Solanum lycopersicum: one gene and its partner. Each later gene encodes a partner of the first gene's protein in a complex. Links are inferred from orthologs where the notes say so. Each region holds a gene or a part of one and is shown on either strand. Other genes may lie near its edges.

Region 1 (4,159 bases):
GAAGAAGTTTCGAGCACTACAAACAATTGACCTGGTCTTTCCTGGTGCCATAGGTACATTAAAGGAACAAATCCATATCACCCACTTCTGATCACCCACGATTGGAAGCTTTGTGTCGATCTCTATTCTGGAAAATTTTCCAATGAGATCTTAGTCATACTATGCAAATAGTTGCAGCATGGATGGAGCTAACATTTACATATAAAACGTAATTCATACAAAGATATAAAGACATGTATACCAACAACAAAGCGAACTTCCATCTATTGATGCGCAAAGCCTTGTACAAACCATGCACCTGGTCTGGAAAGCTATACCTTAAAGAACCCGACTTGAACAGGATATAATGCCCACAACCATAAGAGTATAGATACATAATGCTACTAATGTCTCGTTTTGTTAGCAGATAACAGACTCTGTGAAGTAGGAGAAAGAGAAATGTGATGCAAGCATATCTACCTAAAGATGATTAATTTATACATGATTGCTTGCCTTGATAGTCAAGAAATTTGATCTACTTTAGGATGATGAACTTACTTATTCATTGAGTAACAAGGTGCGACAAATTTTGCAGTAATTTTTGGTTTATCATTGTTCGCACCAGCAAAACCCCAAGGTCCAGATGCCTCCATCTTGAATGGCAAGGGCTTTGCTCTGTCTCGCCTTCCAGTAACCTGTAAAATATCAACAAGTAAGTTAAGAGACATGTGTTGTTGGACACCAAGCAAGCAGCAGCAGTATCACTCTAGTAAAAATGCACATCTATATATACACCGTATTCTGTTATCTGATACATGAAGCCCTTTGCTAATAATAAAGTCGTTTAGCGACTGAAAAGATGAAAGCTCTACTTCAGATCTTTCTGAAATTTATATTTACAGATAGATACACACAACATTGTCTGTAAAGGTTATTTTAAGGATCGTCTGGCACGCTGTTCAGTATCTAGACTCCAGAGAGCCTAATCCTGTCAGCTGAATATGAAGCAACATCCAGAGTCAAAACATGTTATTCAGCATCCACACTCCGGATAGCCTAATCCTATCAGCTTCATCTTTTAAGATGGTAAGATCGAAAAACTATCCATAAATTGATAAAAGTAGCACTGAAGTCATAAGAGTGATAGTTAAGATTCCCATGGCGTACTTCTACCTATTGCTCTCCAAGTATGGCTTTTACCTAATAATTGCACAGAAAGTAAGGTTATGAAAACTTGTATAAAACAATGAGCAACACTCAAAAGCTACACCTTTATACCGTTCCAGATAAAGAGAAAATCCTCCAAGGAACGACCTTATATATGTTTTGGCCAAGCACAGCGAGCTACTTGGCTTAAGAGTTCAAAAGTTCACTTTTTTCACATGTGAAACAGTTTGAGTTCATATTTTCATGGAAATCAAAAACCAAACAACCCGTAGCTTATGAGAACTCAGAACTAACCCTGAAGACTATTCATTTTTAGCATGTAAGGATAAAACCTTAGGTCTGAAAGTGGATTCTTAACTATATTAGAAGCCAAAAAGGAATGAAAATGTTGCAAAAAATACCTTGTGGTGTGCAAAATCAATGTGAGAAGGATCAGAGACGTTCTCCATGAGAGTGTCATAGCCATAAAACAAATCACGCTGAATTGTCACAGTTGCAAACTCAGGCTTATCAAAATCTTCAGGCAACCTACAAATATCCCATTAAACAACAAATTTAAATCCCACTAAAAGTATACTCAAGTCTACCAACTATAATATCTTGATCAACGCGATAGGTAGGGGAATGGGATTCGATTCTTCAACCACACATGCAGGGCATCAACCAAGTGAGCTACCAAATCAATCTCATTATCCAGCAATAGCTTAAATAAAATACGAAGAACATATTTTAAGCAAGTCATTGTACTAAAGATAATCGATTAGTATTATAATATAAACCAAGTCACTATAGTAGAGATTAATATATAATAATATAGCATAACTTCGAACTAGTTTAATTAATTATTCAGAAACTTACATGGGCGGCTTTGTTGCCTGAGCTCTCTCCCATCCATTTTCATCAGGCCAAACAAAGAGTAATCCTTGAGAAACCATAGTAGGAAATCTAGTAGCACAAGCTCTTGGAGACTGAAAAGCTTTAGCTTCAGGTCCTTGAGATGCAGCTTGAGGTATCCTTGTACAAGAACCACATCCATTAAATGACCATCCATGATATGAACACTGCAAATCACCATTTTCATCTAATCTCCCTTCCTACAAACACCCATACATCAAAAACTTTAAAGAGGAGTGCTAAAAACACATATAAAAAGTATCCTCAAGCAAAATCGAGAAGTGGATTTGTACAGATAAAGGAGCAAGACGATGAGGGCATTTGTCATCCAAAGCAACCCACTGAGATCCAGATTTATCAAACCAGATAACTATATCACGATTCAGTAGCTGAAACGGTGTGGGTAAACTCGGGTCGAGATCTTCCACTAATGAAACTGGGTACCAATGATCTCTCCAAGAGAATTTCGACGACGAATCTTGTTCATCATTTTCTGTATCTTCAATATCACTAGATTTTGAATCTAGCTTCTCTTCTTCTTCAGTAGCTGTTGTTGTTGTTGGAGGTGCAGCTACTCTAAGAGGAGATGAAATTAGCGTATTTTTTTTCCTTGTAATTTGAAGAAAATTATGAGGTTTGAAAGGTAGTGAAGACTGTAAGGAAGATGAAATTGAAAGAATTTGAGGAGTTGGTAGTAACAGAGAAGAAACCATTATTGAGTTAATCAATGTTTTGTGTTACTAATACACATATGTTCAAGTAAAGAAGAAGAAGAAGGATTTGCGTGCAAGTTATGAACAATGTGTTTGAATTGGAATTTGATGAGTTTTGTGGTTTGTGAGGGAGGGCCCAGAAAATGAAAGCTGTGGTGGTGGTGCTTTAGGGAGAAGAAGAGACCGTGTTAACGCGGAGTGGTAAATACTTCTTTTATTTGGTTAGAGTTCTTAGGCTTGACTCATTCGAATATGGAATCGTATTTTTATTAGAGAGCTCTTTATTCTCAACGTGACACAAATTCAAATTTGATTAGGTTACACATGATAATAATTGTGAAAGTAAAGAGGAGATAAAATCAATGGTTAAATGTCAATAGCAAAATATTTCTATTACACACTTTCAACTCAAAATTTTAAAAAAATATATTTCTAACATGTGTTTGGAGTAAGGACTAAGGAGTGGAAAAGAAAATGATCTTGAAATGTCACAATATTTAGATAAGTTATTTAGTATAATTTCATAATATATCATATCGTAGCATATTACATTATATATTATTTTGATAAAAATATATTAATATATCCTATCGTTATCGATTGAATGTCATAATCAATACTTACAAGAAAATAAGATAGATCTAAGATCGAAAAAAAGATGAAATAAAATTATTAAACAAAATGAGAAGAAAGAAAAATAAAATTATAATACAGTCACACCAAATTGATGATTATACAAAATAAAAATTTTTCAATGTTATCTAATAATAAATTTAACAATACAGTACAGTAATAAAAGAGTCATTTTCTTAAAAGATTTCACCAACCAAATATGGAAAATATGTCAAAACACGCCCTAGTAGCAACAATTTTCTTCTTTGCTTTTTTTTTCTATTCATAAAAAAAAATCTAGTTCTATTCCCAATTCCCACCAATGTTTTCCTTTTCTTTTACTTGAATTTGGTATGAAAGTAAGTGCCTTCTTCCATTTAAACCAAATCATTAAAAAGAGGGGGGGAAAAAAAATTCAATTTTCCCTTTCTTTTTACCCTCATTTTCAAACTTCTTACTGAAAATTCTAGCCCCGTTCCACGCAGCATATTACATATTGTTGTTTCTGAACAATAAAGCAACATCACACTTACATATCTGAAAATCTCTAAAAGAACAATTTTTCTTGAAACAGTAGTGTCCAAGCTAGATAGGACGCTCCTCGATCACACTCTCAAACATGCAAATTTCCTCCAGAGTTTTCGATAACAATGGTGTCCAGGCCAGCTAGGGTGCTCCTGGATCACTCTCAAACATGCTAATTTCTCCTGAGCCAGTTTCAACAGACTCTCATTATTATCTCTTTTCATTGAATAGAAAGAAAAAGGGGAAATCTAGAGTGACTTCAATAACTA
Region 2 (4,331 bases), on another chromosome or scaffold:
ACCAGCTGGACTAATCTGATAATATGGAGCTTCAGGGAATTGACGTTTAACTTGTAAACCCCAAATCGGCGTCACCCAGGGGTCTTCTTTCCCGTAAATGAGACAGACCGGTACATTGTTCATTCGACACCTAGATATAGCAAGGTGAAAGATTTCAGCTTTGTTACTGTATAAGAAAACATATGCAAGCCAAATGACACGGCTATGTAATACTACTTGCTTTACCTACCCAGTCAGTGCCTCTTTAAAATTTAGTTGTCCCTGAGGAGCGAACATTATTGAAGCAAGGGATGCAGCTGCTGCAGGGTGTTCTGTTACCTCAAGAATACTAGAGAAAACTTTATCTACTTTTGTGGTATGATCAGCGTAAACTTGTTTAAGCACCTCTGCGATACTCTCGGGAGCACTAATTTTCTGCCATCTACAGAAGCATAATGAAGCGTACAGACGGATAAGTTTGAGAACCAGACAAAACCCAAAAACAAGGATACAATCCATAATGTCCCTCTATTATATGATGAAAGAACATCAAATTATCCAAGAACGATTCATTTTTTCAGCATAAGTTGCAAAATGTAACAACACATCATTTGGTCATCGTCTTGATGCTAACCAATATAAAATGTATAGCTGGCAAGAAGATCCTATTACTCGGTATATAAGTTTATAGGATCAGGAAACTAAATAATCAAAACAGAAAGTCAGGGCACTTACACAAGTTCTGTGAGCTTTCTGATATTGGAGGGCAGAGGAAAAGTACCAGCCCATGGAAATAATCTAGATAATCTCGGAGATCTAACAGGATTAGGAAGAAATCCCCAAAAAGGCGTAGCATTCAGCAAGGTTACACCTTTCACTAATTGAGGGTAGTATGCAGCAAAGTAGAGGGCAACATATCCACCAAGTGAATTTCCCACAATGTAGACTGGTTCCTTAATAACCTGCATCACCAAAGGATACAAGTTTATAGTTTGTTCCTAGTAACCAATCAACAATTTGGAAACTTATTGAGAAGCCCATCGTTCCATAGCCTAAATCGAACAAAAATAAACAAGTAGTGCCAAAGGAACATTATTCTGGCATACTATAGCAAATTGTCAGGACTGCAACTGTAATGTACTCATAAGCCTTGTATGAATATTTTTAGTTTCATCTTCTAGCATTCATTACGAGCCAGTGTATTGAACGAACATGAATTTAAAAAACTAGCAATACATCAATGACAATGCTTAATCTACAGATCAACCAATTTTGAGGGAAAAAACACAAGGACAAAGATAGAAATTGTACCTCTTCGATGAAATAGCGTACTTGCTCCCTCCATAAGTCAATAGAATAGACAAGTTCTTTTGCCCAAGGTTCTACTTCATCCCCCAAACCCCAGAGAACATTGTTTCCATCACCTTCCGATTCATTTAATCTTTTTGACCGCGAAGTTGGATCCTCACTAGGTAATGACTTTCCCTGTCCAATAAAATCCAATGCCCATATTCTGTTATCACGACCAAGATCCTTTAGCTGTTTTTCATAGTGAAAGGAACCAACACCAAAACCAGGAAGAAAAAGTATTGGCGCGGAGTTAACATTTTGACATCCAGATTTCTCATAATGAACATTCAGTTTTGGCTTCCATTCCCACAAACAGCTATCAATCACAGCAACAGCATCGCCTTTAGCTTCACTTGGTAAACTAGGAATCATAACCTTTGGTACTGATTTACCTCTACTAGTCACACCTTCTGTACCGACTTTCCCATCCACGACATCTGTGTTATAGCTTTCATTCAAGAGACTTGAGTCAACAACACTGTCAACCCCCTTAACAGAAGCGACAGTGCAAGATCTCCGCTTCCTATTTTTCTCTACGCTATAAACATCTAAACCAGAACACAATCTTCTTTCTTTTAGTCTAGAAAACATTGTCTGATTTGAAATTAGGCATTTTTGAATCACATTCGGTTTAACATTTACAACGCAGTAATAGGGTGTCGAATAGAAAGAACAAAATTCCATCCCAGAGTCAGCTTTCTAAAATCTAAAATGAATACCTGAAATCAAGAATACATTGAAAACAAAGCATTTAGGTTGTTATCAAATACTAATAAAATACAGGAAAGTAATGCAATCAACTCAACAACAATATAGTAATTTACTTCTTCACATCTAATTATTATTACTTGGCTAATAAGATAAATCAACTAACATCATATTCTTCTACAACAACAAAAAAATTCAACCTTCATTTTTTTTCATGATGTGAACACATTTATTGAACCCAATAACTCTGGTTCAAACTCAATTTTTTTTTTTTCATTACAAAAATCCATTTAATATGTACAGTTATTAATTTAGAATTCAGTAACTCAAAAGATCTAAATCCCAAACTACAAACTTCAAATCCTGAATCTGTCAATAGATCAACCTTATCTGGAAAACGAAAAAATTGAGCAAATATTGAACCTTACTTGAAAATTCTACAACTTAAACATCCAATAAAAGCTAAAAATCAATAACCTAAAAGACCATTATTTCACAATTCCATAACAAACTAGAAAGAAAAAATTGAAAGCCAACTAACCTTTAATCAGTTTTCTAAGATAATTATGAGCAAAATCTCCAAGAGCTTAGGAGAAGTGATATGGGATTTTAGAATTGCTTTTTCTTATTCTTTTTAACATTCAGTTAGTTATATATTTCTACATAAATCTAGAGTCCAGACAAGAGATTGCTTAAAAAAGTGGGATCTATTTAGAAACCAAGAAAAAATAAAACAAATGACGATATTTAACAAAATGGTAGATTTGGGCGGTCTGGTCATGCGATATAGTATCATGATATGAAATTATGAGATGCAATTAAAGTTTTGTTTAGATATTCGAGATGAAATTTTGATATTGTATATTCTTACGTAATCGTAAAAATCTCATAAGTTTTCTAAAACTATTAAAATTGCTTCAATTGTTTATTCAATCTTATCAAATTAAATAAAAAATTATAAAATTGCATAATAAATTATTATAAAATTATTTGTTCTCCACTTAAGTAATGTTTCAATCTAAAAATGAAGCACTTTTCACGGGTTCTTCAAGATTTTATTACTCAATGATCGTGAAGTGTGACCTAAAGTGACTATATGTTGGTGTGAACAATAAATTTTAAAATGTAATGATGTAACTATAATTTTATTTACATGTAAAATAAATAGTTAGTAGATATAAATGTAGCATTGTTTTAACAAAATATAAACGTGTGGATTAATTTTTGTATTAAATATCTCAAATTATGATATGATATTCCCATATGATTCCATATTATGATTTCTAGAGAATATGAAATCATGAAATAGAATTAATGTAAAATCGCATGTCTAAATGCTGATTTCATCTCACAATACTATGATATCATATGGCCAAATGCCTACTTTAACTTATCATTATTATAAAGATATTTTTTATGTATAAAAAAGTATTTTAAAAAAATTATCATAAAAAATCATTCGCACATTACTATAGTAATTTGTACTAAAAAATTGAGGTGTACTCAATAGGGCCACCTCTGGTCAATTTTTTCAAACTTTTTGGCGTTACATGTTATTTATATGGTTATTACTCATTCCAGGGTGTTCACGACTCTATTAGGTGAGTATTTTAAAAAATGTCTTTTGAAAAATAAAAAAACATGTTTTATGAGTTTTATTTTATAATGATCGATGATTTTTTCATTCAATTCCTATAAAGGTACACATGTATAATATCTAAATGACGATAATATATTAATTTGTGCATCCTTATACACAAAAGCTAATCTAGCATGGTGGTTAAATTCTTGTCTCACACCACTCCTTCGCTAGCAACTGTGTCCCAAGTTTAATTCTAGTCACTACATTTTTGTGTTTTTTTTTTTTCAAAATAAAAATTGCATCTAGCAACTTTTATGTATATGTGATAAAAATCATCAAACCACACAATGAACTATGTTACTCATTTGTTTGATTTATATTTTTTGAGTATATACTTGTTTGGCAATATTATTTTACCACACATTGAACTTTGTTATATTTTTGTTTAATTTATATTCACTGATATTAATTATGTTTTTGACTATCTATGGATATTATAGGAGGCACATCAAAATGGAAAATTCAAAGGCAAAGAGGGGAAAATAAGCTTGTGAATAAATAAGAGGGACCATAAAAATATTTAGATAAACACCCTCGTTTATTTCATGTTTGTTTATATCCTATTTTACACACTATTTATTTCTTTATCTTACAATAAATAAATATATCCTTACCTTTTATAATAATTAACGTTTTGATTACTCAAAGTTAC

The links. Proteins that work in one complex are often made in the same cells at the same time.
Region 2: lethal leaf spot 1-like protein (region 1) and pheophytinase, chloroplastic share a complex: the UniProt entries of both Arabidopsis thaliana proteins name them as parts of the SGR1-CCE-LHCII complex. The link is inferred for Solanum lycopersicum from reciprocal best matches to the Arabidopsis thaliana genes ACD1 and PPH.

What each region holds. Positions count from the first base shown.
Region 1 is NC_090810.1:57,602,820-57,606,978, forward strand, and holds the start of lethal leaf spot 1-like protein, read right to left. Parts: upstream 2,843-4,159; 5' UTR 2,754-2,842; coding exon 2,334-2,753; intron 2,241-2,333; coding exon 2,005-2,240; intron 1,675-2,004; coding exon 1,548-1,674; intron 675-1,547; coding exon 538-674; intron 128-537; coding exon 1-127. UniProt on the Arabidopsis thaliana protein: Catalyzes the key reaction of chlorophyll catabolism, porphyrin macrocycle cleavage of pheophorbide a (pheide a) to a primary fluorescent catabolite (pFCC). Works in a two-step reaction with red chlorophyll catabolite reductase (RCCR).
Region 2 is NC_090800.1:78,700,274-78,704,604, forward strand, and holds the start of pheophytinase, chloroplastic, read right to left. Parts: upstream 2,876-4,331; 5' UTR 2,579-2,875; intron 2,049-2,578; 5' UTR 2,014-2,048; coding exon 1,291-2,013; intron 942-1,290; coding exon 715-941; intron 422-714; coding exon 230-421; intron 131-229; coding exon 1-130. UniProt on the Arabidopsis thaliana protein: Alpha/beta hydrolase dephytylating specifically the Mg-free chlorophyll pigment (pheophytin), yielding pheophorbide. No activity on chlorophyll. Belongs to the chlorophyll catabolic enzymes (CCEs).